7 linked regions of the Sus scrofa genome follow. The protein of the gene in region 1 interacts with the protein of each later gene in a biochemical or structural test. Links are inferred from orthologs where the notes say so. Each region holds a gene or a part of one and is shown in the gene's direction. Other genes may lie near its edges.

Region 1 (4,183 bases):
TGTCACTGCTATGGCTCTGGTCACTGCTGTGCCACAGATTCCAACCCTGGCACTGGAACTTTCCCATTCCCCAGGCAAGGCCAAAAAAAAAAAGCAGTGGAAATCTTAACTGACCTAGCAATGGCCCCCTGTAAACCTGTAACTAACACACGCCTAACGGATGGAGTTAAATGCTGGTATATAATCAGCTTGAAACAAGCCCCCTGTGTGTAGACTATCCCAACGGTTTTCTACAGTGGAGACATTTCCAAGACGGTTCCCAGGCTTACTTAAAAGGGAAATTGAATTGCTGCCCCCCCCCCATTGGCCACGTCCACTAGTTGTCTGCTCAAGCACTGGGCATGCACTTCCTCACGGTGCCGCTAGATGGCAGGGCCGCGCGCCCTTGGGGCGCTTTGTGGAGATTCGCGGGCTCACTCAACACCGTGGACGCCACGCCTTGCAAATTATTAGGGACTTTTCGGTAGCAATCATATTAACGCCTTTTGCATACTGGAATTAGAACCGCGGTGATGAGGGTAGGATTGCAAAACTGCACCCACCCTTTTGAAAGGGCGTCCAGTCCAGGAGAATTAGAGGGACAACCTCTTGGGAGTAAAGCAAAGCTGCCCGGCGGTCCCCTCGCCAAAGAGGGGCCCAAGGAGCTTGTCCGAGGGGCCACAGTCCTGGGTTTCCGCGAGGTGACGTGATGGCCCTGCAGCTGCCTGGCTTTTGTGAAATGGAAGTAAGGGTGGTGGCAATTTGTCTTTGTGCCTTGGGGTAAATCCTGGGAATGTTCTAGTCGTAACACTACGTGAGAGGAGCCTAGGAGGCAGGTCCTGCCAGGGTGAAGAATCATCTGCTTTTTTCCAAACCGGCTTCTCTTTACCCGGTGGGCACATGGAGCCAAATCCATGCCTGTCTGCAAGCATGGACATACATCTTTATGCTCTGCGTTTGTACAATGGCCTCACTGGTGGGAACATAGTTAAGGTAGCTTGAAACATAATAAACTGCCTATATGCCCCAATGTTTATCTACCACCTCCCCCCTCAAAAATAACCCCAGGCAATTTAAAATGATTCACCAAACAGTGACATATTTGTATACATCCATAATTACATTAGTAAATTCATGTGGTAGAAGGGGTGCAGTTTGAAAACTATTAAAGCTTTAAAGTTACACATTTCTAGTCTGCTCTATAGTTTTACACAAATGAATATTCCCGTCTTTTCCATATTTACTGCCAGAGTATACGATCTACATATATGAGTCAGAGGTTCATCAGCGGATTTTGCAGCGGAGCGGATCAGAGGGGCAGGGGAAGCTGGGTTGAGCAGAGAACGACCACTCTCAGCGCCGCGCCCGCCCCGCGTGGAAAGCAGGATGTCCCAAAGCGGGAAGGGCCGGGGGGCCTCCGGGCCAGGAGCAATGAGCGCGATCGCCTGGGATTTGCAGCAGGGAAACTGAGGCGGGAGGTCGGGGAGGTGGTGGTGGGGGTGCTCCCCGAACCAGTTCCTTGGCAACGCCGCCGCTCCGACCCTCGCTACGCACCCTTCGCGCCGCCTGCCGCCCGCCCTCCTCAGGATTGAGGAAGTGTGTGTCTGGCCCGGCCCCGCGAGCGGCCAGAGGCGCAGGGGCGGAGGGCAGAGGGGCGGCCCGGCCCGGATCCGCCGTCTTCCTCCCCGCCCGCGCTCAGCGCAGAGTCCAAGGCGCCGGCCGCCTCAGGTAAGCGCCGCCGGGCCCGCGCCCCGCCAGGGGACCCGCCGCCAGGCCCCGGGCGCAGGGCGACCCCAGGGCTCATGGCCCCGCCGCCTGCCGCCGCGCTCACGGGGCACGAGGCCCAGGCGGGGAACCCGAGACCCCCCGGGACGGGGCCCGGGCAGGGAGAGCAGACTCGAGCAAGGAGTACTTCTCCCTCCGCCTTTGGAAAAACTCGCTTCCTTCAAGTCGGAGTGGCCGTGAGAGCGCGTGTGCGTTGTGTGAGCCTGAGAGTGAATGTGCTTGTGAGCGAGAGTGTAAGCTGAGTGTGAGCGCGGGGGTGTGGGGAAGCAGCAGCTCCCTGCCCCGACGGCCTGGTGCGCGACGGCCGGCGCATCTTCATCCCACCCTCAGGCTGAGGCCCTCTTCTGGCCTGAGGGTCGGATCTCCGGCGGTGCGGATAAAACCCCGCCACCACCTTGGCGGTCTCTGCGGCGACCTCCCGGCAGAGGCGCAGGAGATGAGCGCGGATGTGGTGGAATGAGGAAGGGAGCCGAGGAAGGCAGCCGAGGAAGGCTGCCGAGGAAGGCTGGGGGTCGGAGGGATATGATAACGAATAATTGGGCGACTTCTGTGCTGGGCTCGACCAGCCCCTCTTTGTTTGAGGTCAAGAAGCTTTTCTCTCAGGAGCACATCCCCCTGCAGGGGTCTGAGAAGGAGAGATACGGGAGCCTGTAGTTTGTTTTTGGTGAGCCTCTCACCAAACACACCATTTTCAGACTTTGTCACTTATTGTGTCCAAATTCCCCTGGGCCTTAAGGGGACAACTAGAATATGCAGGATTTGGAAAAATGTTAACATTCCCCTCCTTTGGTCGTTTGGCTTCATTATCTTTGTTTATGCCCCGGAAGAATAAAAAAGTTAGAAACATACAAACCTCACACCTAATTTGTCCTGCAGAAGGTTTTGGGGGCCCTGCCCCAAGCCTCCACATCTCAGGGGGTGGCCTCATACTAAAGGTAGTAGGCACAGTTGCTCAGATCAAAAACCTAGGAGTCGTCCCTTGTCCCAACTCCTCATTCCTTGAATTCAATGGTTAGCAAGTCCTGTTGGGTCTCAAAGGTGTGTGGGGTCCATCCCCTTCCTTTTTATGGCCCACTCTAGTCCAAGCCACCAGCATCTCTTACCTGTGCAATTGCAGTGCTTCCCATACGCCCAGTCTCCATTTGGCAGCCATGGTGATTTTTTTTTTTTTAAGGTAAATTCGAGAGTGTCAGTCTTCTGCTTGTAACCCTTCAATAACATCTCCTTATGCTTGTCACGAAATCCAGAAGACCTCCTCCCGTCCGCATCCCTGCAGCTGATCTGGCTTCTGCCGTCTCAGATCACCTGGCCATTGCCTCCCCACCCAGCCACCCCCTCTAAACCCAGCCTCACTCTCACATCTCTCTGTGTATGTCCTTGCAGTTGCCAATGGCTGTGTGTTCCTACTCTATCTTTTGAATTACTCCTTTAATTTACCTGAAAGTCTCCATTGGAGACTCCAGGTGTCAGAGACCTTTCCAGAGTCCCTGCTCACTGTTGCATCTTCACTCCCAGAGCTGCTCCAGAGGGTTCCAAATGCATACAGGTAGAGAGACAGTGGTGGAAAGACAGTATGAACTTGTTTGTGGCTTTAGGCTCACAAAGGGCTTCTGTTCTCATCTGGGCCTGAGAACTACACATTTCTACGGTTTGTAGCACCGTAATATTTTGATGTCTACAAATCTATTAAACACATTTTGTAGGCAAGCCAGTAGTGGTCAAGGAGGCTAGTTGTGCCAAAGGGATGTCTCGGACCATGGGCCAACCATCTCAACCAGGCTTTTGATTCAAAAAAAGACCTGGGAGTTCCCGTCGTGGCGCAGTGGTTAACGAATCCGACTAGGAACCATAAGGTTGCGGGTTCGGTCCCTGCCCTTGCTCAGTGGGTTAACGATTCAGCGTTGCCGTGACCTGTGGTGTAGGTTGCAGATGCGGCTCAGATCTCGCGTTGCTGTGGCTCCGGCATAGGCCGGAGACCACAGCTCCGATTGGACCCCTAGCCTGGGAACCTCCATATGCCGCGGGAGCGGCCCAAGAAATAGCAAAAAGACAAAAAGACAAAAAAAAAAAAAAAAAAAAAAAAAAAGACCTGGGTGGGAGTTCCCGTGTGGCTCAATAGGTTAAGGACCTGATGTGTCCCTGAGAGATATGGGTTTGATCCCTAGCCTCACACAGTGGGTTAAAGATCTGGTGTTGTTGCAGGCTTCATCCTAGGTCACTGAGGCGGCTCTAATCCAGGGTTGCCTGTGCCACAGCTCTAGCTCTGATTCGACCCCTGGCCTGGGAACTTCCATATGCTGTGGGTGTGGTGCAGCTGTAAAAAGGAAAAAAATAAAAAAAAAATAAAAGGCTGGATGATAAGAGCATTTCTAACATGCTTCACTTGTGCAAGTTTCTTCAGGCTCTTTGGTATCTGCAC
Region 2 (4,068 bases), on another chromosome or scaffold:
ATTATGCCTGAACCTTTTCTCTTGAATGAAGACTGCTTACAGGGAAGGTGTATTAGCAAGTGTTCCATGTACAAACGCAAACACTAGGTGCACCCTAACTCTGCCTATGTGGTAACCAAGAGTAAAAGCACGCGACTAGCAAGGAAGAGGTCATTTGGGGAAGCTGGACACTAGGTGCCTAGAACTCTAAGGAGAAAGGAAACAAAGTCCAGCTGGTGGCCAAGGCAGAGCATGACATGATGGAGACTGCTTTGTTTTTTTTAGCTATAACAAAATTTCCTAATCATTAACTCTAATCATTAACTTTTGAGACTGAGGGGAGGCTGGGAGGCTAAAAGGCTTTTCCTTCCAAACACAAGGACTCAGGGTCTGATACACATTTTCAATATTGAAAACTATTGAAACCAAGGCCCCCTAAAACCTAGTTTCCCTACTGAGCTTCTGACGAATCTCTCTACCCAAAACTTTCTTCTCTTTCTTGTCTCCCGACCTCAGTCCTGCGCCAACTGAATAGCAATCAAAGTCAGACAACTAAAGTCGCGGTTGCGGGTGACATCCTCAGCAAACCATCACTGCCTCTGCAGACATCAACACACAAGCTCAGGTTGCTTCTCCAGGGCAGGCCGAGCGACCAGCCCGCCAAGCCATGGACCACGTGGCCTGAGACCGAAAACCAGAGACAGCCCGACAGAAACGGCTCAAAACGATGATTAACTGCATCTTTGTCCTCCCCTTTAAAACACAAACGAGAATCCCCTAACTCAAGGACCGCACGGCTCAGAGGCCTCTCCGGGTTGCTCTGGCTTTCCGCCCCGAATTACACCTGAACGTCGCCCGGAGGCCTGATTTCACCGCCCGGTGTGTCCTGGGCCGGTGTGCGCGGGCGGCCCTCCAGGTTCGCGCACGCGGCGCGCAGCCCACGCGTGCTTCCGACCCCACCCCCACGGCTCGGCCGGCCCTGGCGGGTCTGCTCTCAGGTCTTCGGGCTGCTGGAAGGACGCCACCGAGCGGGGTCCGCTAAAGGCGGCGCGGACCGGGGGACAGGGACGCGGGCACCGACCGGCGCCGGAGCCGCCCCCCCTGCGGCCGCCGCTCGGCCCCGGCCCCACCCCTTGCCCCTCCTCCCGCCCCGCCCCGTCCCCACCCCTTGCCCCTCCTCCCGCCCCGCCGGAACCTGAGCGCTCCCCGCCTCCTTCCGCCCCCGACCGCGGCCCCGCCCCTTCCGCCGCCTGGTCGCGCGATGCCCGCAGTGGGCGGGGCGGGCCCTGACTGGCGCAGCCGGGGGGCGGCTCCGCTGGGCGGTGGCTCCGCTGGGCTGGCTTCCGGCAGTGGGGCCCCTCGTCCCGGGAGCGCCATGGCGACCCTGCGCGCCTTGCTGCCACGCGTCCGCGCCCCGCTGCGCGCCTGGCCCGGCTGCCCCGCGCTGCGCTCCTTGGCCTCGAGTGAGTGCGGGGGCGGGGGCGGGGGCGGGGGCGGGGGCGGACCCGCGGCGGGGGTCCCTCGGCAGCGCCCGGGACCCCCGGGCCTCAGCCTGGGCGCGCCGCTAGGCGGGACCCCGCCCCTGCAGGGGACCCGGCCAGCCTCGCAACCCCTCCCGGCACCTGCTGCCCGAGCTGGCGGAGCCCTGGGGTCACTAGCGCCTCAACTCCAGAGACCAGGGACCGAGAGCTCAGACCTCTGACCATTTCAGCGTTTGGCTGTTGGTTGTGAAATTCCTCAGACTTTAAGAGAAGGTGCGCTTAGCGCCTCTGGAGTAGGAAGGGGAAGCTCGTGCTGTCCCGCTGTGCCTCCTGCCCGGGCCTCCCCAGGTCCAGGCTTTCTCCTGGGCTCTGGCCTTCGGATTCGGCCCCTCCCCCCCCGCCGCGCGCCCCTCCTCCTCTCTGCCGAGCACCTCTGCCCAGTTCCCCGCGGCAACTCTTGCCCACGTCGCTGAGCTGGGGAAGAATTCCCGCCGCCTCTTCCTTCACTTTTGGTCCGCTGACAACCTAACTAACAAGTGTTGGTTTTAAGTTCTCTTTGGCCACCTGCTGCTGCATCCTAGCCTGTGATTAGCAGTTGTTTCCCGGGCTTGTATGTGACAGTCGTGCTGCCTTTACATGTCCGATTTCAGTTATTCCCCAACAAGCCAGTGGGATGGGTACTGCCTCCCTCTTTCGCTGTTCAAGAAAGCAAACCACCTTGGTTAACCTTCTTGTCTGGGCGAGCAGCCCCTGTGGGCCTCCGCAGTTGCCTTTGCCTGTGTGTGCCTCCCCCCCCGATTCCCCCCACCCAGGGGGGCCTCCCCGCAAGGCTGGAAGCGTGCAGTGTGCAGCTTCATTCCCCGCACCTAGTGGACCTTTGTTGAAAGGAGTTTCCTGGAGTTCCCATCCTGGCACAGTGGTGAACGAATCCAACTAGGAACCATGAGGTTGCGGGTTTGATCCCTGGCCTCGCTCAGTGGGTTAAGGATCCCGCGTTGCTGTGGCTGTGGTGTAGGCCGGTGGCTACAGCTCCCATTAGACCCCTAGCCTCGGAATCTCCATATGCCACGGGTGCGGCCCTAGAAAAGGCAAAAAAATAGACCGAAAGAAAGAAAGAAAGAAGGAGTTTCCTTATCCCAGATTTGCAGAATCGCAGGCTGTCTTGTCTAGCGCAGGTTCGGGGAGGTGCTGACCCAGGCGTTCAGGAGAGGGAAGGCTGCTGTTCATTGCTGTTACTTTTTAACTGAAGGCAATGTTCCAACATCTCTGGAAGCAGAGAGCACTACAGAAGCCGCCTGCGCAGCTGCGAGCTGAGCAGGGGCCCTCCGGGGTCCTGTCGGGCCACTCTGCGCACTCGTGGGTGCATCCCCCAGTCTGCTGCCCCTGTGAGTGGCAATCCCTTGTGGTCCCCGTCCCCAGGCGCACACTTTGAGCACATCGTCGTCGCAAAGAAGGGGAAGAGCAGCAATGTGGGGCTGATCCAGCTGAACCGCCCCAAAGCACTCAACGCCCTCTGCAAGGGCCTGATCTTGGAGCTCAACCAGGCACTGCAGGCCTTCGAGGAGGACCCAGCCGTGGGCGCCATCGTCCTCACAGGCGGGGAGAAGGCCTTTGCAGGTGAGGTGGGCAGCGTGGTGACAGGCCAGCCAGGTGCACGATCACACCGTGGCGTGGTAGCGGACCTAGAGATCTGTGAACGCATCAGGAAAGTTGCATAGCACGGGACGGAACCCGGAGCTGCCTGGAGAGGCTACTCTGATGCGTGGCGCTCTGTGTGTTCAGAGGCATCAGGTCTCGTGTGCGCGCGACTGTTGAGGGAGCCCCGCCTTCTCCCTGCGCTGTTTCCCATCCACACCCCTCTGCATCCCCTCGTGTGGTGGTGTGGTGCTCCACCGCCGCCCAGCTGTGGTCCACGTGGCCATTGCCTGCAGCCCCCAGGGCCTAAACCTGCAGGGGACGCTCCATAGCCACCTGTTGGTGTGGGGCCTCTGCTCTGGTAACCGGGACCTCATTTCTGCCCCAGCTGGAGCCGACATCAAGGAAATGCAGAACCAGACCTTCCAGGACTGCTACTCCGGTGGGTTCTTGAGCCACTGGGACCACCTCTCCCGGGTCAGGAAGCCGGTCATAGCTGCTGTCAATGGCTACGCCGTGAGTGTGCGCCTCCTCCTTGCGTCAGGACACCCAAAGGAGTTGGACCTGTGTGTGTGCAATAGCACTGAGTTTTGCTTAGGGGAGGCCTCATCTTATCCCATGCTCGTGGGCCTTTGCTGCCGAGCGATGCCAAAGAGGCAGGAATGTCCAGGGGCGTTATAGCTCTGTCAGCAGGCGCTCAGCTGTGGGCCTTCGGATGGATTCCCTTGTCGGTAAAGCCCCCCCCCGTCCTTAGCGGCCCCTGGAACTGCCTGGGAGTGTCCTTCCCTCTGCCAGGTTAAGGGCACACGTGTTTGCTCTCTGTGCAGTTCTGGTGGCCTTCCAGCCTGTGCTGTCCTGTCACCTGACATCTTTTGCTACCATTGGCAGCTCTACACTTGGCACGTCAGGGTGTCCTGCGGGCACCTGGACCAGAGGCCCTGAGGCTGGCTGCAGCCTGTAGAGAAGGGAGGAA
Region 3 (3,967 bases), about 130 Mb from region 1:
GTTTGTAACTTTACTTTCACCTAGAAAGTCAACTATTTATGAATATTATGAGTATGGCTATAGCCATGAGCTCAGCAAACACAAAAATTCACAGAAAGCTGTAGTACCATATCCGTTTTAAACCCTTCCGTTGAATGTAACCAGTGAAATCTCTGGAAGTCAAACAGAATATTTTTGAGAGGACACAATTTGACTCTGACTCTAAATATCACTTTCCCAGCCTAAATTGAGCTTCAACCCCGCAGATGAGGATTTCTTAGGCATTCCTGGTTCTCTGAAGGACCAGGATATATATATTCCTGATAAAAATCAAGAAGGACAACGCTACTCTCTCCATCAAGGTATGTTTTCCAGTCCTCTCTTTTACACTAGAGGGAAAATCCTGCTGCCTAAGTCATTCATTCGTTAATGCAGCCCTGCATCCAACCCTGAAGAAAAAGCTTTTGACAGGAAAATGGAAATTCTTAGACTCCCATTTTTTCCCTTTCAGGAAACCTGTGGGGTCTCCCCCAAACCTCTGAGGCCCTGAGAAGCTTCTACATTTATCAAGAGGCCAGAAGGAGGTTAAGGGGATGCCTCGGAACGAAATTCTCAAGCGTCGGGGCCCAGAAGCTCCAGCCGAGATTACAGCCCGCGGTAAACTCCAGGCTGGAGGCAGATCCTCCTTGAAGGGCCGGGAAGCCATTGCTCGGCGCCGTGCTGGCTGTTTACTGCACACTCACTGCACTCTGCCCGGAGCACGACGGGCCCGCCGCAGTCCCGACGGGGGACAAAGAGCCCGCGGGGGACTCGTGCCCCGCCGGGGGACGCAGAGCACCGGCCGCACCCGGTGCATCTCGCCCAGAAAGTTCAGCCGCGGTGGCCGCCGGGGGGCGGGGGGGGCGGTTGGGACTCGGCTCCCCCGGCAGGCGCTGCCCCCGAGCGTGTCCCCACTCCCCTCTTCGGTCCCCACGGGCGGTGACCCCGGGCCCCGGCCGCCACTCGGGACGCGGCCCCGAGCACTGGAACAAAGGGCGCCCTGCGGCGGCGGCGGCGGGGCCCGGGGCGGAGGCTCCGGGCGGGGGCGGAAAGCGGGCGAGGAGGCCGGGCCGGCCGAGGGCACCGGGCGCGCTTCCGCCGGCCGCGCCGCGCACGCCGCGGTAAATGGGAGGCTCGGCCGGCGGGGGCGGGGGCCGCGCAGCCGGGGAGTTTCAGGAACTGGAGGAACGGGCGGCGGCAGGAGTCGCCCTGCGCCGAGACTCGGGGCCGAGGCGGAGCCGCCGCCGCCGCCGCCGCCGCGCCGGGGCCCAGCCGTAGCCGCCGTCGCCTTCGCTCTCGCCGGGCCGCCTCGGGCCGCCAGCCGCGACGCGGGAGAGGAGCCGGCCGTCCCGGGTCGGGGGAGCCGCCCGCCATGGCCACCAAGGTGAGGGGCGCGCGGCACAGGCCCGGCCGGCCGCTCGGCCCCGCCGCGGCGCGGGCAGGGTCGGCGCGGGGGGCGCGGGCGGCGGCGGCCGCCGGGGAGGCCGAGGGGGCGCGCCGGGGCCCAGCCAACAGTCCCTGAGGGGCCTGAGTGGCGCGGGACGGACGGGCGGCCGGGGCTGGGGCGCTCCGGGTCGGCTGGACGCGCGGGAGGGTCCCCCGGACGCGAGCCGCGCTGTCTGCAAAGTTTGCTCCTGAGCGGGGGCCGCGGCGGGCGGGAGGGAGGCGAAGTTCCCGCAGCCCCCGCGCCGGCTCGCCAGCGCCGCCCGACCCCCGGGGGCCCGACTCCGTCCAGAGCGGCGTCCACTCCCCGCCGCCCCGCGCGTCCGGCCGCCGCCGGAGAGCGTCGCCCCCGCCGCCCGCCGCCCGCCGGAGCGGGAACCCCAGCGTCGCGGGCCGCTGGCGGGGGGCCGATTCCCCCGGAGACCCCGGCCCGAGCGCGCTGGGGATTTTGAGTTCGGGCCGGTGACCGGAGGCTCCCGAGGACGGAAAACGCCACTTGAACGCCCCGCGCTTCCACTGCCTTCGGTTTTCTTGTTTTTTGTTTTCCTTTTGTCTTGCTACCTTTTCAGTTTGAATGTTATTTCCAGCATGAATAAAATACAAAGAGGGAAATGACTCTGCTTTCAGTTACGTATTTGCTTGAATAAAGGTCCAGGCCCGAATTACGTGGTGGAACTTTGACTCGCGCTTGGTAATTGGCCAGGAGGACTGGTCTGCTTATTTCACGGTATTGTCGGTGGGATTAGCGGTCACCTTTTGTCACCTGAGTCTGCAGGAGCCACCCTCCCCCGCTCCCTGGGCTGGGGCGTTTTCTTTAGAGTTTGATGCAGGCTCGTAATTAAAAAAAAAAAAAAAAAAAAGCCACGATCACGGAATGAGGACTAGAGGTAGGGAGTCCCCTCCGTCTGGAGCCAGTGATGTGGTTTGAGTTGACTTTTTTATCTGATTGCTTTTTGCAAATAGTTTTTGTAATGTTCCCTTTTAAAACATCAGCACCCCCTTCCATATTTATGTTTGAAACCTGGAAGCTACTCCTGGGTTGGTGGAAATCTTAGAAGTTTGTTGTTGGGTTTTTGTTTTGGGTAGAGAGAGAAAACTTAGAAAACTAATAATAAATGTCACATCCCTTTGAAGGATCAGATTGATAGTCTGTTAAATGTTGTGCTCTGTGTCTGTCTAGGTGCAGTGTTTATTACTATTATTATTATTTTTAATGGAGACTCTTCTCCAGTGAACCTGTTGCTGTTACTGCAATAATTACCTTCTGGTTTATGGATTATTGGCATTGCTTTGCTTTGGTGTTATTAGATGCCATAGAACTTTGCTGCCCTTTTAACATGTATCATTTTGTCTTTGGTCTTTTTAAAAACAAGAGGTAAGCCAAGGATTTCTAAGGGAACTTGATTTTGAGGTTTGTTCCCAAACAGCCCAGAAATGACCAATTACAGGTCCTATAGACACTCAACTCGCAACTTTAAAAGCTGTTTGTTGTTGTCGGTATCTTTTCAGTGGTGGTCAGTGTTGTGCTATTTTGCGTCCTGATCTACTGGGGCTAGTTATAGAGACAAGTGGAACTCAGCAGCTGGTATTGGTATATGGAATGAAAGTTTTATTTGATACTTTACACCTGAACTTAGTTTTTCCATAAAATTAGAGTGACTTGTACTCAACTTGAGTTGCATATATCCTCACTCGGCATGAGCCTTGAAGCATGTGTAACCACTTCCTCCTTTATTATCTGCACGCCTCTGAAGGCAAATTCCAGTAATTCTGAGCTATGGGTTCTTTCCCCATTGTAATCACTATTCCACATGGTCCTCCTTGCCATGTTTACGTTGTGACAAACCACTTCCAGTTTTGTTTTTTAATAAATGGAAGAGCAGAGAAGCACTTATTATATAGGGCTCTTCCTCAGTTCTCTGGTTTTTTCCTACTTTCTGGTGACCCTTGGATCCAACCAAAGTCTCCTTTTTAAATTGTTCCCAGGGAGTAAGTTTGACCTTGTCGTTCCTGGATCCCTGCCCTTACCAACGTCTGAGTAGCTGGGGGTTTTATCCTCCCTTTCTTTAATTGGGTGGGTACTTGTCAGAGAGAACGTACTTTTAGTAAGTAATAACATCTGTTTAAAAATTGAAGATTCATGTGGCACTCAGGCTCCTGCCACAGCATTAAGTGATGAGGAATAAATACAGTTTCTGGACATTTTAGGTAGTATTGGGTTTCCCTTTACTCAAAGTGTTGGGTTTGAATTTACTAGAGAATGGCTTCTGTTTTCCTCAGATCCCCTTTTCTCAGGAATTGTTCTTACATGATCTCTTGAAGATGCAGTTATCTTTGAACTATCATTCTTTTTAAAAAACTACACTGGTATATTCACAATAGAAAGAAATGATCTTTTGGAAGAAATACTTGAATTGAGCAGTTCTTCACTGCCAGAGAAAATTAATCAGTAGCTGCACATTTTAAAGAAGTTGTGTGTTCATTGTTTCTAATCACTGTATACTGA
Region 4 (3,500 bases), on another chromosome or scaffold:
AGGTTGCAGGTTCGATCCCTGGCCTTGCTCAGTGGGTTAAGGATCCGGTGTTGCTGTGAGCTGTGGCATAGGTTGCAGACACAGCTCGGATCCCGTGTTGCTGTGGCTCTGGCGTAGGCCAGCGGCTGTGGCTCTGATTAGACCCCCAGCCTGGGAACCTCCATATGCTGCGGGAGCGGCCCAAGAAATGGCAAAAAGACAGAAACAAAACTTATGTCCTCCCCACGGGCTTCCTTGTCCCCTTGCCCTGCTCCTAAGACACGGAGACGCTGTGTCTCTTTGTGATACGTCTGGTGGTCGTCTTGAGATCTCCCCTCTGGACTGTCCCTGCCGCCTGGTTCACCCTTCCCTCTGTCTGTTTCTGGTGTCCCGCCGGTGTCTGCTCTCGCGGGCGCCCACCACCCAGCTCGCTGCAGGGCCGAACCTTCCCTGGGACCCCGTGGGCGAGGGCCGTTCCGAGCAGCCTGTTCTCCTTCTCACACCAGTTATCCCAGGTCAGCTGCAGGCTGCTTTCCTTCCAATTTTGGCCATGCTTTTCTTGAGCCTTTTTTTTCTCCTGCAGTTTCCAGCGTTCTTGTTGGAAGAAAAACACATGTTTTCTAATCCCATTCCTAACAAAATCTAGATTCTTACTCATTGTTCTTCGTGAAATAGTTCAGATTACAAAAAAAAAAGCCTACAGAGCAGTACATGCAGGTCCACTTGGCTGCTGCTCAGCTTGAGAAGTAAAGCAGCAAGCGGCAGCGCAGACGACAGTGTGTGACCACAGGTTAGGGGACCCCGGATGAGTGCGCTCGGGCCCCTGCCCAGTGCACTCTGTCTGGCCGGCTTGCTTGCGGAAGTGTGTCGGTCTCGGGGTACCGAGGCCCCTGTCTCGTCACTCTCACGGGCCCCCTTTGCCAAGCGGCTGGCGGTGTTAGTGGGCCCCCGAGAGGGCCGTGGAGGAGGCCCCTCTGCTCTGCAGCGAGCTCTCAGCCTCCACGTCTCCAGTTACGGGTCTGACCTTCGTGGGGGTTTGGTTTGGGTTTTGGGGGAAGTTGGTTTTTTTGGTTTTTTACCTTTTCTGCCACTTCGCTGGGCTCTGGGTCCCATTTCCTCTTCCTGAAGCTGTCGGGTTGCTGGCGTCTCGGTCTGCAGCCTCGGCCTGCGTCTCGGCGGCCAGCTCCCGCTCTTTGCCTCTGTCTCTGTCTTGCTCGTGGGAGTGTAGCTTCCACCGTCTTCCCTGCGGAGGTCCAGCCGCAGAGGTAACCGTCACCGTTCTCCCCAGGCCGCGGCAGAGGCAGCGCGTGTACCCCAAGTCTTCGTGGCTGACCACCCCCAAGAGCACGTGGCCGCGCTACAGCAAACCAGGTGAGGGCGTGGGGCCGGCCTCCGCGCAGAGCCCCAGCCCGGCAGCAGCTCCGGCGGAGCCCGTGTCTGGGCACAGGCCCTCGCCCACCGTGCGTTTCCTCGGGCTTGTTTTAATCAGCTCTTTTCTACTTTGCCCTTTGGACTGCATCCCGTGCTATAGCAAGCAGTCAAGGGTTTTACAGTGGCATTTTAGATTTTGTTGCAAACCAGTGAGCACGCATCATTTAAGGAGCCACTTAAGGAAAAGAGCCCTGCGAAAGGTTGGGGTGTGGGGGAAGGCCCTGCGGGGTAGCGTGGAGGACCCTGGGCCCTGTGCTTGGGTGGCTGCTTGTCCCCCTGGTCATTCACCCCCCGTTCCCGGCAGCGGGACTGGCTGCCCTGGGGCCCTGCAGGGCTGCCCTCGGTGGGGCCTTTGAGAGCGTGTGGTGAGGGCGTCCTGGAGCCCTGGTCTGTTTCACGGGCGTCCCACCCAGAGTCAGCAGCAGGAGTGGACAGGACGGGCGCCTAGTCGAGGGTTGGCCGTGGCCGCCTCCTGCTAGGCCACCTGGGTTTCTGCTCTAAGCAGCCAGTGGTTGGGCTCCCCCAGATGGGGTGGCGGGAGGTGGGCTGTGCCTGGGACGTGGGTGCTCGGACCCCGCTCGGGGGTGGTGGGAGCGGGGGACGATTACAGGGAGAGTATGGACAGGGGACTGGGTGTCGCTGGTGGCGCCCTGACCCGGGGCCCCCCCAGGTCTGTCCATGCGGCTGCTGGAGTCCAAGAAGGGCCGCTCCTGCTTTGCCTTCGAGCACAACGAGGAGTACCAGCAAACGCAGCACAAGTTCCTGGCCGCGGTGGAGTCCATGGAGCCCAACAACATTGTGGTGCGCACGCACCCCGGGGTGGGGGTGGGGAGGGCCGAGCGCCCCCGGGGTGGGGGAGGGGCACGCACACCCCGGGGTGGGGGAGGGGGTGGGGAGGCGGCGTGGCGGCCCCGGGGGCGCGGCCCGCAGCTTGTGTCTTGCTCTGCCTCGTAGGTTCTGCTGCAGACGAGCCCCTATCACGTGGATTCGCTCCTGCAGCTCAGCGATGCCTGCCGCTTTCAGGAGGACCAGGAGATGGCCCGGGACCTTGTAGGTGAGACCCGTGGGCAGCCCAGGCGCAGCGGGCGGGGGGACACTCGCCAGGGGTCTGCTGAACAAGAGCCCTACTGAGGTAGCGCTCGCGTGCGGTGAGACTCGCCCTTTGCGCGTGTGCCGTTCATGGCGTCTGGTGTCTGCAGAGTGGCACGGCCTCATCCCCGTGGGTTCTGGGTCATTTCCAGCTCTGCCAAGAGGAACCCTGACGGAGCAGCTGTCCCCTCCCCTCCCCCAGTCCCTGACAGGCACGTCTGCTCTGTGTTCTGGACTTTCCTGTGATGGAAGCCTGGAACCGTCCCTCTGCAGTTGCAGTCCCTTCCGCAGTGTCCTCAGGCACTGCTGCGGGGCCAGTGTGTCAGCGCCTGCCCCTTTTGTGATGGCTGATGCCCTGGGTGTGGCCGCTTCCACCCTCGGCCTTGTGGGTGCTTGTGGGTTTCCAGGAAGTGTGTGCCCATCTGGTTGGAGGACCTGCAGAGGCAGCCGTGAGCCCCAGGGCACGGCCCTGCCTGTCGCTTTCCAAATCCTGGTTTCCTGGCCCCCTCCCTTCTGAAGCCTTCCTGGTTGTGAGCGAGAAGGGTGGGTGTGCCGCCCCGCGTGGTCACTGACGCCCCCCCCTCCACCCGTGTCCCTGCAGAGCGTGCGCTGCACAGCATGGAGTGTGCCTTCCACCCCCTGTTCAGCCTCACCAGCGGGACCTGCCGGCTGGACTACCGCAGGCCTGAGAACAGGTGAGCCGGCCGCCCGCGGGCCTTCAGCGGCCGGCACTGCCTCCTTTCACCGTCACAGGTGCAACACAGGAGGGCCGCTGTGGAGGCAGCGGGGTCAGATGGCACGGGGCTGGGTCCCCGGGCATCTCGATGTGTTTGAAGCTGGAGTGTAAGAGGCTGGGCTGGAGGTGGACATGCCACCTGGCCGGGGGTTAAACTTGTCCAGGTGAGGAGGGAGCCTCACGGGCTACTTCACCAGGAGGGACCCTGTAATTGTGCCTCCTTATGTGTCTGGACTCCAGAATCTGCAGCCCGCGAGGTTGGGAT
Region 5 (4,083 bases), on another chromosome or scaffold:
TTTTTGATCTTTTTGTCTTTTGAGGGTCACATCTGTGGCACATGGAGATTCCCAGGCTAGGGATTTAATTGGAGCTGCTACTGCCGACTTACAATGCCGGATCTGAACCATGTCTTCAACCTACACCACAGCTCACGGCAACGCCAGATCCTTAACCCACTGAGTGAGGCCAGGGCTCAAACCTGCATCCTCTTGGTTCCTAGTTGCATTCATTTCCGCTGAGCCACAACAGGAACTCCAAAATTGCCCCCCCCCTTTTTTTTGTCTTTTTTTGCCTTTTCTAGGGCTGCTCCCGTGGCATATAGAGGTTCCCAGGCTAAGGGTCTAATCGGAGCTGTAGCCGCCAGCCCACACCACAGCCACAGCAACTCGGGATCCAAGCCACGTCTGCGACCTACGCCACAGCTCACTGGCAAGGCTGGATCCTTAACCCACTGAGCAAGGCCAGGGATCGAACCTGCAACCTCATGGTTCCTAGTTGCATTCGTTAACCGCTGAGCCACGAGGGGAACTCCAGCCCTATTTTAAATTACATGTCTATGTTTACAGGAGAAATTAGTTTTTAAAATATATGTTTATAAAGCATTTACCTTTATTTTGTGAATTCTTTGTTGTGTGCTTGTCATCCTTTTTTCTCTTAGGCTGATAGTGTTTTTCTTTTGCTATATGTGATATTTTAATATATGAAATACATATTTGTTGAAATTTTTCTGAGTTGTTATTTGTATTTATGTTTTTATGATATTTTTACATTCAAAAGTATTTTTTGCACTCAGGTTTATTGGCCTTTTTTCTTTAGGATTGCTTCTATTCCTCTTGTGCTTTGAAAACCTTCCCTATTCTGAAGTCAGTAAATCTATTTATTACCTTCTTCTAGTTTTTTTTAATTTTACTTTTTAATTTAGCTCTTTAATCTATGTAGGATTAATTTTGGTACTATGGGGCTTTTACTGGAGACTTTTCCAAATCATTCGTTTTCTTACCACCCTTTGTTAATAAAATAATCCATTCTTTCTCCATAGGTTTGTGTTACTTTCTCATCTGTTAAATTCACACACGCACTCACACACACACGCACACACGAGTCTATTTCAGAGCTTGCATTAATCTGTTTAAAGGATTCTGTTTTTAAGGTTGTGTGTGAGTTGGGGGGTGGGGTGGGGAGAATGGTTCCAGTACTTTTTGGTCCCAGATGTTACAAAATTACAATAATTCTTCGTATTGTCTTGACGGAACCGGGGGAGAGCATTGGTGAGGAGGCCTTTAGGACCCAGGGGAAAGCCAGGCTCCGTATAGAAGGACAGAGTCTCGGGCGCACACGCCTCCTACCAAAATCACAGCCCCTAGGAGCCGGGGCTCTCTCATTCACAGCTTTCTAGAGAAATCTGAGCCTGAACCTGCCAGAATAGGGGATCTCACCCACTCAGCTCAGCATCGAGGACACCTGCAGACACACATTCCCAAAGCAAGGCTGGGCGGCCGTGTGAAGGTATTTGTTGCCTTTTTTCTCCCTTCTGTATTCTCAGCGCCTCCCCACCTTTCCCCGCTCTTGCGATGCCATGGCTGCGGCGTTTCAGCACTTCGGTGCGTGGACAGCTCCCATCCGCAATCCCTCCGCACTCCACCTCTCTCGCACCCTACTCTCCACGGTCTCCGTGGTCCATCCTCTTCCCAGCGCCCGCTCAGCCTGCGCTCCTTAAACCATCGGCACCCCCATCTCCACCATCACCGTCATGCTCTCCACCATCACCAGCGCCGTAACTACAGTCAACACAACTGTGTCTTGTCACTTAGACAAAGCCAGAGGTCCGCAGGATAGAGGAAAAGAGCCCAAGTTTTCAGGCACAGGAAGGAAAGTTCAGGTGGACTACACCCCTGAAAACAAAGAGAGACGCCTGCTTGAGAGAAAGGGAAAGTGAAGACAGAAGAGAGACCCCGGGTAGGGGACAGATGGGGCACTTGCCAGACACCAGCAGTTAGCCAGATGCCTTTCAGCAGATTAGAGACTGTTTAGTTTAGGAAATTAACATGGCCTGGGGTATAGTATTATTCCGGTAAAATAGATCTCTAAACTCAATCTGCCTTTCTGGTTTTCCAATGGAGAATCACCAGGAAGCAGGGGGTGGGGGGGACTGATGACTCATATTCACCCACATGCCGTTTTCCTTCCTAGGCATTTATTGCAGAAACTCTGGAATTAAGTTTTTGACTGAAATGTTTTGTAAAATGGAAGCCCCAAAGGTTAATTCGGTGGCCGGAATGGAAATTAAAATGATGGTGGTGATAAAACCTAACAAATGGGGCTTCCATTGGAAAGTGTTATTTGTCCAAATGTCTCTTCCTGTCTACTTATTTAATTTCAATTTTCCAATCTTATATCTCTCTTTGAAACAGAGAAGATAGATCTCTTGCCCAAATGGCCAAAGTAGTAATGATATTCAGAGCAGATGGCCTGGCTTTGTTCATCCTAGTCAAGGACTGACTCAGATTTGGAAGGTGAGATTTTTGTGTGCTTTCTCAAGTAATCAAGTGATAACACCATTTCCCTATAATAGTAAGGGGCAATAGAGTGAACAAAAATTGAAAACACATTTTATGTAACTGTGGTTCTGCTTTTAGAGTGCTAAGCTTTTCTATCTCAGCTGAAAGGAAGTTGGAACATCTTCAAATATCTTGACGGCCCAAACCCAAGTCATAGCACCTCTTTGATGTAGCCAGGACCAGCTGTTTTATAAGAGGTAACAAACCTCAGAAAATAAGTGCCCGAGCCTGTCATAAATAAAAATCCTCTGATGATTGTTCATTTAATCAATTATTACCACACAGCAAAATGTTGGGTTTTTTTTTAGCAAATTGTTTTTCATAAAGATACATCTTTATTAAAATGGATAAATGATATTTTCATATGAGAATAATGTCAGTCACATGTAACAACCAAGTTTAAACCAGAGTACAGAAAAGGCTGATTCAAAAATTGCCATTGTATGTTTATTCTGCCTCTTTAAAAAGAAAAAGAAGCAAGTTTGTCTAAGCCAGCTTGCTCATAATCAGAGGCATTGTCAAAAATAAAGAACAGTCACAAACAAGTATCTACTGGAAGAAGTTTTGAGGAAAAAGTCACACCAAATGCACTTCTCAAATAAGGAATAGTAGTAAGAATTAATTCGGTCAGCATCTAAAATTTGCTCACTTTTGAACTCAAACCAAGAAAACTAGTGAAAATATCTGGTGAAACATTTTAGAGAAGAAGAAAATCTGGTCATCCTTATACTGTCCTTAGACTGATAATATCCATGGTAAACTGGATCTCTCAAATCCCCAAGCAACAAGATTATTCTCAAAACTCCCTTATCTGTCTGCAAAGAATGGTTCGGCTGAGATAATTTTTTAAAGTGTACATATTGCTAGTTCTAGCTGCTTGAACCAGAAACTCATGCCAGGAATCTAGTCCCCTCAATGCTACTTCTTCCTGTGCTTAATACAATTTCCTGAGGCTGGGGAAATTTCAAAGCAAGCCTGCTTTGATAAGATTTACAGGCATCTGTCTCAGAAGCAGTGCCTTTCTTTGACTAAGATATTATACTGAGCTTATTAATTTTTATAGAGTGGCACTATCCTGGCTTCTCCTTTTGTTTTTTCTATAAAGGGCTATTTTGCTTTTTTCATATTTTCAATAACAGAACATTCTCACTTTTATGATGGATTTAAAGGTGAACAGAAAACATTTGCCATCCAGAGTGGCATAAATACACTTTTGTACACATGTTCACAGAGGGATGCATCTTTTTAGAATCATGGAATATAAAGCTGGAAGGTCCTTTATTTCCCCAAAAGGGGGAATCCAGAACTCTTCAGACTTGGTGGTGTCTGCTTACTTATGCAGGCTTTACAAAGGGACACCTTAGTAACCCTGGGAAGTCAAGTCATGACTTTACACATTTCCCCAGCAGAGCCTCCCTTAGTAAATGGACCCAGGCTGACTTGGATATTTTCTGTTTTCCTGTTATACAGTGACCCAGAGGAGGTAACACAGCAGAATGGCTATGAAGTGTGACCACATGCAATCAGCCCAGACATACCACT
Region 6 (4,114 bases), on another chromosome or scaffold:
AAGTGGAGGTTCCTCTTTTTCTTTTGTCTCCTTCCTTTTAAATGGCAAAGTCATTTGACATAATGCTTTTAGTTTCCTTCTTGCTTCCCTAGTTGCTGCTCCTCTCTAAAGAGTGTACTTTCAGTCTAAAAGCGACATTGTCCCATTGGTGCTCTCCTCCAGACAACTGCCACCTCTATGCTAGGAGACACCCAAAAACAGCCCGGACTTTTTCCCAAGCCTCCGATGTGTTCCATTTACCAGACAAACGCAGCGGCTGGAAGAGCCATGTGACTCGGTATCACTTGTTGACCCTGGCCCCCTGGCTAAGTAATGGCACTGCTGGGCATGTTTTCTCACCCCAAAGGGATAATTAATAGGAACGCTTCTAAAAGGATGTTGTAAGCAGTAAAGCATTGTATGAACTGAGCTTCTTTACTATAGTGATAACACGTGCTAGCCTGTCCAGAAAGAGACTTTTTTTTTTTTTTGTCTTTTTGCCATTTCTTGGGCCGCTCCCACGGCATATGGAGGTTCCCAGGCTAGGGGTCCAATCGGAGCTGTAGCCACCGGCCTACGCCAGAGCCACAGCAACACGGGATCCGAGCCGCGTCTGCAACCCACACCACAGCTCAGGGCAATGCCGGATCCTTAACCCACTGAGCAAGGGCAGGGACCGAACCCGCAACCTTATGGTTCCTAGTCGGATTCGTTAACCACTGCGCCACGACGGGAACTCCCGGAAAGAGACTTTTAATAGCTTGAAATTCTAGGAGGGTTAAGATGCTACCGGGGGCGGTGGCTCCATTTCTCCGTTTGGAGGTGAACACGCCAGACAAGAACCTACCGAAAGCGGCCGGCTGCCAAACGCGCCAAGGGGGTCAGGCAAGTGGCAGCGTCTTACCTGGGGGGGGGGGAAGCTCTAGGTGATGGGTCACACACGGGATTCTGGATCCAGTGCTGCCAGAAATGATTTTTCCACAGAAGCGTCAAAACTGAGCTTTTAAAATGATGCTTTTCGGTCTTTTATAGGCAACCAACTCAATAAATAGACGGACGCCGCGGGCCCCCCGGCGCTCGGCTTACACAGACCGGCTCTGCGCGGCCGGGCACCGGGAGCCCCTGGACACCAGCCTCCGCGGAAACCGCCGCGTGCAAACGGTTGGGCGCCGGGCTCCCTCCTCGAGCTCGGCGCCAGAAGCCCGTTACCCGGCCCACCCTCGCGTCCACGCCCAGCTCCGCGCACTCGCAGCCGCCCGGCGCGGCGGAAGTGACGCCCGGCGCTCTTCCGGCCAGCGACGCGCCCCCGCGCCTGCGTGGAGGCGTCGGGCGGAAGCGGTGCGGTCGCGGCCGGCGGTTGCCGAGTGGACCCGGACGCGGCTGTACGCTGAGCCCTCGGTCCGGCGCCCGCCGCGGGCCGCAGCCATGTCGCTGCTGCAGTCTGCGCTCGACTTCCTGGCGGGCCCGGGCTCCCTGGGGGGTGCTGCCGGCCGCGACCAGACTGACTTCGTGGGGCAGACGGTGGAAATGGGCGAGCTGCGGCTGCGAGTGCGGCGGGTCCTGGCGGAGGGTGAGGCGGGGGCCGGGGGCGCGCGGCCCGGGGCGCGGGGCAGGACCAGGCGGGCAGGGGGAGGGTCACGGCTGGCCGGAAGGCGACTGCCGAGGGGGAGGCCCGTGTGGGGTCGGGCACTTCCGTGTCGGAGGCTGGGGTCAGGCTGGGGCAAGGTGGTCGTGGCGGCAGGTGTAGGCTCACCTGAGGCTGGAGGAGAGGCTGTGTCGCTGGGAAGGAGTGGTGGGCCGGCGGGGGTTGGCGCGCGGGGCCTTAGCGGAAAGGAGGCAGGGGGACCCGCAAGACTAAAGGCTGGAGTCCCGAGGCACGCGCTGGGGCCGGGGGGTGGGTTATAAGTCGTCGAGGGCCGCGGTGGGACAGTGGACGTGGGGCTGGTCCTCTCAGGTTTCGGGACCTTAGGCGAGGGTGTTGGGACAGACAGCGCCGCGTCCTGTAGCCGGGGTTCCCCCTCTTACCATAGGAGCGTCTTCTGCCCCGGTCCTCTCTGGGCCCGAGCTGACCCGGCAGTTGGGATCCGTACAGAACCTCGCCGCGGGGCTGGTCAGTCTGTGGTCGGCTGTGTTGCTGCACGCTGTTTCTTGCTTCCTGCACCCCGCCTCCCTTCCTCACACAGAATTTCCCACCAGTGTTGGCGCGGTCCTGTTTCCTTGTCTGCGTTTTTCTGTTTTGTCCAGTGGGGATCACGCGGGCGTGTGAGCTTCCCCTAGCCGTGGCACGGTTGGCTTTGGGGCTGTGTTCCTTGCTTTAGCCTGCGTGAGGGAGTGGCTGCATGGACAGCTGCACATGGCTGTGGTTTCCCTCGGAGCTGTAGCTTCAGCCAGTCACTGCGGACATTCCTGCTGCCATTTGTGCTCAATTTCAGGTGGAACAATGGCTGGCTGTTTCCAAAGGCCTGAGGCGTGTTCTGCCCTTAGCATCCTCACACACATTGGCTCCACTGTCAGGAAGAGAGGAATTTGGAGGGTGATTTGGTGAGAAGATCTCAGGCTCTTCTTCAGAGCTAGTGACGTTCTGAAGTGTGGTATTCTTTCATATCTGGGGTAGAACGAGAGTTGCCCCCAGATCAAATCATTTATTCTGAAAATGCCAGGGAAGTATTTTGATTCTTTAAGAAATTCAGAGTGGAGAGTACGTGATTTCTGCCTTGTGGAACTTTAAATAAGACACATTTTCTGATGAACAAAGGACAGTGCAATGCAGGGGATTCCTCTGGTGGGATAGACGGTGGGCCCAGCTGAGATGGGAGGGGTGAGAATGCACCTCCTGCCAGGGGCAGGGCCAGTGCAGAAGGGGAGGGATGGGAAGTGGGTCACACAGAGAAGGAAGCTCGTGCCTGTGGCATAACACCCAGGATGAAGAACAAGGAAATGGAAGCAGCCACTGTGGTTGTGCAAAGCACCTGCTCCCCTTGTTGTCTAGACACACCAGGAGGTGCAAGGTGCCAGTGAGATTAGGAGCTGTAGATTTCCTCCCCTTGAACTGAACCGGCGGCTTGGCTTCAGTTTCTAAAGCTCGCGAAGCTCCTTTCTGAGCTGGAATGCTAAGAAACCTGTTGTTCCCATCAAGTAGCAACCGTAGAACCTAGACTGGGGGAATTCAGGCTGTCTTGTATAAATATGTGGAAAATCCCAAACCCAAAACCCTTGGGTACCTGTATTGACAATTTCAGAATTCTTCAGGTTCTAGGAAGAGCCTGTGTATTCTCTCTGAGCTGGCACGCCGCCAGGGCAGTTGGGAAAGTGTTGCATAACCAAGTGCATTCGTGTATCTGGAGTTAAGGGAGTGAGTCCTCACGGTGGGATAATTAAGTCTTCAGCTAGCCTCACATCAGTTCGTGTTAGGTGTTGCCCAAAATGACTTTATAATAGATCAAGTTTTGCTCTCAAATGATTTAGGGGAGGGAGTGCCCATTGTTGTTCAGCGGAAATGAATCTGACTAGCATCCATAAGGACACAGGTTCAATCCCTGGCCTCACTCAGTGGGTTAAGGATCCGGTGTTGCTGTGAGCTGTGGTGTCCTTCGCAGCTGCGGCTTGGATCTGGCCTTGCTGTGGCTGTGGTAGGTCGGCAGCTGCAGCTCCTATTCAACCTCTAGCTGGGAACCTCCATATGCTGCAGGTGCAGCCCCCAAAAAAACAAAAAAAAAATTAAGAAAAGATTTAGGGAAAAAACATTGGTTTTCATAGCTTTGACATGTGCACTTGTAGCCTGAAATGGGTTGTTGGGCAGAACTGTGGAGCCAGGTGATCTTTGCAAAATGTACTGTTAATTTTCACTTTAATTTAATTTTGTTTTGTTTTTTCAGGGCTGCACCCATGGCATATGGAAGTTCCCAGGCTAGGGGTCCAATCAGAACTGTAGCTGCCGGCCTGCACCACAGCTACGGCCTCAGCAATGCCAGATCCGGGCTGTGTCTGCCACCTACACCACAGCTCACAGCAACGCCGGATCCTTAACCCACTGAGCAAAGCCAGGGATCGAACCTGCATCCTCATGGATCATAGTTGGGTTTGTTAACCACTGAGCCATGAAGGGAACTCCTTCACTTTAATTTTAAAGCTAGTT
Region 7 (3,500 bases), on another chromosome or scaffold:
GCAGCTGCCATCCTATGCCACAGCCACAGCAATGCCACATCCAAGCGGTGTCTGTGACCTAAACCACAGCTCACAGCAACGCTGGATCCTCAACCCACTGAGCGAGACCTGGGATCAAACCCTCAACCTCACGGTTCCTAGTCAGATTAGTTTCCACTGCACCATGACAGGAACTCCAAGATTCTGAGTCTTACAATGACACCAAGAGAGGTGGCATAAGGGAGCATTTTGGTGACTCTAGGTTCTAGAGTCTAGGGTATCCATCATATGTGAATTTGCCAACACACCCTTGAATCAATTTCTATTTTTGTCCTACTGAATATTTTGGGAGTTAAATTTTTGTATTAATCTGCAGTATAATTTTTCTATGCTATATGTACATTAATAATTCAAAACTCTCTTCTAGCTTCAAGGGGTACTTAATGACCTGTTTCAATTAGGAAAACTATAACCGTCTTTACCCTGCCCAGATGCACTCTTGATTGCCAATGAATTAATAATTTGCAATTTTCCCTCATGTTAATTCTTTGATATCATTTTGAGATAACTAGAAGAATTAATTCTATCACTAGAATAAGTGAGTCCTGAACTTTCCTTGATTTTTACACAATTTACTAAAGTGTCAACAAAATTAACATATCATTTCCCTATGACTTTATGGGAAATACATATGTCTTTGGCATGGTGACAAATTTAATTTTAATTGCTTACATCTGTATAGGTCTGTCATTGAAAGAGATATGTGTACTTACTGTCGAAAGCCCTTGGGCACAGAAACTAAGATGATTTTAGATGAATTACAAATTTGCTGCCATTCCACTTGCTTCAAGGTAAGGATATGTTTATTACATTTAATTTGATAAGAAATTGCATAATGACTGGAATTAAAAAAATTATGTAGTGAAGTACATGAGATGAAGTTAAAGCTTTCAGAACACTCCCATGCACATTAATAATGCACTATTTAAACATTTCTCGAGCGTTCCGCAGCCTAAACCTCCAAGGTTTATAATTAAGCTTTAGGCTTAGAGTTGATTACTGACACATTTATAACTCTGACCCTACAGATTTCAATCTGTAAAACAATAAACACTTGTTCCTCTTTAGAAAAGTTTTTGCAGCACTTTCATAAATCATGCAGTACCTGAAATGTGGAATGAAATCCAAAAAGGAAAATAAATTGTTGAGAGGAAAGCTAGCAGCTCCTTATATCATGAAATTAGGACCGATGGGCTTAACAATAGTTGAAACTCATTTTGCTTTTGAGAGCATGGTGAATTATAGTTAAACATGGCTTCGTATAATAATAATAAAGCATATATAGTAGAATGCTTTATAGTGTGTATCTTCATATTGCCATGTCTTTTACTTCTCACAAAAACATTGGATTGGTCAACATTACACTTTTTTATGTAACTAAATGAATACTTAGCCGGGAACCTGAAGACCTGACTTGGAGTTCTAACTGATTGTGGTTAAAATTAATTGTGGTCTTGTCACTTTGGACCATCCCCTAAATTAGCTTAGTCTTGGTTTCCTCATCTGTGAAATCAAGTAGCTGAATAAACCAGTGGTTTTCAACCCTGGATGCACATTATAATCATCTGAGATTAGAAGGAAAAATAGAATGCCGGGGACCAACCCCAATTAAATCCAGGATCTTAGAGATGATTCCTGAGCACTGGTGTCTTTGCAAGCTCCTTAGATAGGTCTGACGGCCAGTTTGAGAACGACAGCCTAAACCCTTCGGAGGAGTTCCCGTCATGGCTCAGCAGTAACGAACCTGACTAATATCCGCAAGGACACAGGTTCAATCCCTAGCCTTTCTCAGTGGGTAAAGGATCTGGTGTTGCTGTGGCTGTGGTGTAGCTGGCGACTGTAGCTCCAATTCCACCCCTAGCCTGAGAAGTTCCATATGCTGTGGGTGCAGCTCTTAAAAAAAAAAAAAAAAAGACATAAACCCATGGGGCCTTTCTAGTGCTGGTATTCTCCAGTTGATGCAAATTATCTAATTCAGTCAAGTTGAAGTAATACTTTGACAATTGATTGCTTCTCTTTTAATTGGTAACAGACAGTGACACAAAGCAATTGGAAAGATGCCTTACTTTGAGTAAAAGAATAATCCAGTTTTAGGCCATCATGTATAGAATTCTATAAAAAAGTATATGAAAATGTCATAATTATTGAATTATGAGACAGTGAAATTTCCTTTTAGTTATTAAAATTTACTCACGGAAACAAAAATTAGTCTATATCTCTTTATGTTACATTCTTATGCACTAAACTTTTTAAAAGAAAAAAATTCCCCTGAAAATTCTCTTGCTGTTGGTAAATAGGAATAATTTCCATTTATTATATTTTAGATGGTTTATTTCCATTTTCAATTTAATTATAAAATGCTACTAACTGAGAACAAAAATGTCCCCACACTCGTAGGAAAAGACAGCTTATTCTATAGTCATAATAATAGAGAACCATCTGAACTGGCTTAAGTATGTCTAACGGATCTATGACAATTTGCATCAGTAAACTTGAAAGTCAGCCAATTGGCAATGAACTTGCTCCAGTGAGCGCAAGTCTAAGGCAGATGTCAACCCTTTCCTGCCTTCTTCACCAACACAACTTGAAACAAACTTCCCTCTAAACCTTATGTAGGATCAGAAGCCTGTTTTGCTCAGGGACCCTATTCTTGGACAGCATAGCTCTCCCTTAGTAAGCAAATGACAAGTATTCTTTGTATTTTTGTTTGTGATATCCAGTGGTGATCTTGTCTTTGGCATAACCTTTTTTTTTTTTTTTTTTTTTTTTTTTTTGCTTTTTAGGGCCACACCCATGGCATATGGAAATTCCCAGGCTAGGGGTCAAATTCGAGCTACAGCTGCCAGCCACAGCCAAAGCAATGCCAGATCCAAGCCGTGCCTGTGACCTACAACACAGCTCACAGCAACACTGGATCCTGGACCCACTGAGCAAGACCAAGGAACGAACCTGCATCCTCATGGATACTACTGTTCCCACTGAGCCACAGCAGAAACTCCAGCATAAGCAATTTTTGAAAATGTCTATCCATTCTATTGTGAGTGAGGGAAAAACTTTAGTGTATGGATTAAAGACAAGTATACTTCTACTTTTCCTCTGGGTTTTTCTTGAGGCTTCATTTAAGTGTTTCTATGGAGGATGGTACCAAATGAATTAAAAGGTTGTTTTTTTTTTTAATACTGTTACACCAAGAATCTAAACTTCATATATAATGTAAACTTTATATATACCTTTTATTTAGTGTGAAATCTGCAAACAATCTTTGGAAAACCTACAAGCAGGTGACAGTATTTGGATTTATAGACAGACAATACATTGCGAACCTTGCTACTCAAAAGTTGTAGGTAAGTGTTAAGCTCGGTAAGCACCCATCACTAACATTAATGAGTATTTGATATTGCTGAAAATGAAAGATTTCAAAAGTAAAAAGTGTTTTATTAAAAGTTCAAAAAAATTCAGCT

What was found.
Region 2: the proteins of LRRK1 (region 1) and ECHS1 form a complex in vitro, tested with the Homo sapiens proteins (2 studies listed by BioGRID and IntAct, with this or other methods). The link is inferred for Sus scrofa from reciprocal best matches to the Homo sapiens genes LRRK1 and ECHS1.
Region 3: the proteins of LRRK1 (region 1) and SNX9 form a complex in vitro, tested with the Homo sapiens proteins (2 studies listed by BioGRID and IntAct, with this or other methods). The link is inferred for Sus scrofa from reciprocal best matches to the Homo sapiens genes LRRK1 and SNX9.
Region 4: the proteins of LRRK1 (region 1) and TCF25 form a complex in vitro, tested with the Homo sapiens proteins (2 studies listed by BioGRID and IntAct, with this or other methods). The link is inferred for Sus scrofa from reciprocal best matches to the Homo sapiens genes LRRK1 and TCF25.
Region 5: the proteins of LRRK1 (region 1) and CLVS1 form a complex in vitro, tested with the Homo sapiens proteins (2 studies listed by BioGRID and IntAct, with this or other methods). The link is inferred for Sus scrofa from reciprocal best matches to the Homo sapiens genes LRRK1 and CLVS1.
Region 6: the proteins of LRRK1 (region 1) and GAK form a complex in vitro, tested with the Homo sapiens proteins (2 studies listed by BioGRID and IntAct, with this or other methods). The link is inferred for Sus scrofa from reciprocal best matches to the Homo sapiens genes LRRK1 and GAK.
Region 7: the proteins of LRRK1 (region 1) and SCEL form a complex in vitro, tested with the Homo sapiens proteins (2 studies listed by BioGRID and IntAct, with this or other methods). The link is inferred for Sus scrofa from reciprocal best matches to the Homo sapiens genes LRRK1 and SCEL.

Annotation. Positions count from the first base shown.
Region 1 is NC_010443.5:139,492,743-139,496,925, forward strand, and holds the start of LRRK1 (leucine-rich repeat serine/threonine-protein kinase 1), read left to right. Parts: upstream 1-1,383; 5' UTR 1,384-1,707; intron 1,708-4,183.
Region 2 is NC_010456.5:141,346,071-141,350,138, reverse strand, and holds the start of ECHS1 (enoyl-CoA hydratase, mitochondrial), read left to right. Parts: upstream 1-1,268; 5' UTR 1,269-1,354; coding exon 1,355-1,442; intron 1,443-2,879; coding exon 2,880-3,077; intron 3,078-3,483; coding exon 3,484-3,611; intron 3,612-4,068. UniProt on the Homo sapiens protein: Converts unsaturated trans-2-enoyl-CoA species ((2E)-enoyl-CoA) to the corresponding (3S)-3hydroxyacyl-CoA species through addition of a water molecule to the double bond.
Region 3 is NC_010443.5:9,236,175-9,240,141, reverse strand, and holds the start of SNX9 (sorting nexin-9), read left to right. Parts: upstream 1-1,167; 5' UTR 1,168-1,390; coding exon of another isoform or gene 1,391-1,402; intron 1,403-3,967. UniProt on the Homo sapiens protein: Involved in endocytosis and intracellular vesicle trafficking, both during interphase and at the end of mitosis. Required for efficient progress through mitosis and cytokinesis. Required for normal formation of the cleavage furrow at the end of mitosis.
Region 4 is NC_010448.4:191,840-195,339, reverse strand, and holds part of TCF25 (transcription factor 25), read left to right. Parts: intron 1-1,267; coding exon 1,268-1,350; intron 1,351-2,080; coding exon 2,081-2,211; intron 2,212-2,364; coding exon 2,365-2,464; intron 2,465-3,100; coding exon 3,101-3,194; intron 3,195-3,500. UniProt on the Homo sapiens protein: Component of the ribosome quality control complex (RQC), a ribosome-associated complex that mediates ubiquitination and extraction of incompletely synthesized nascent chains for proteasomal degradation.
Region 5 is NC_010446.5:72,254,460-72,258,542, reverse strand, and holds the start of CLVS1 (clavesin-1), read left to right. Parts: upstream 1-1,283; 5' UTR 1,284-1,489; intron 1,490-2,394; 5' UTR 2,395-2,496; intron 2,497-4,083.
Region 6 is NC_010450.4:294,145-298,258, reverse strand, and holds the start of GAK (cyclin-G-associated kinase), read left to right. Parts: upstream 1-1,314; 5' UTR 1,315-1,404; coding exon of another isoform or gene 1,405-1,549; intron 1,550-2,004; exon of another isoform or gene 2,005-2,566; intron 2,567-4,114. UniProt on the Homo sapiens protein: Associates with cyclin G and CDK5. Seems to act as an auxilin homolog that is involved in the uncoating of clathrin-coated vesicles by Hsc70 in non-neuronal cells. Expression oscillates slightly during the cell cycle, peaking at G1.
Region 7 is NC_010453.5:49,770,091-49,773,590, forward strand, and holds part of SCEL (sciellin), read left to right. Parts: intron 1-721; coding exon 722-830; intron 831-3,280; coding exon 3,281-3,383; intron 3,384-3,500. UniProt on the Homo sapiens protein: May function in the assembly or regulation of proteins in the cornified envelope. The LIM domain may be involved in homotypic or heterotypic associations and may function to localize sciellin to the cornified envelope.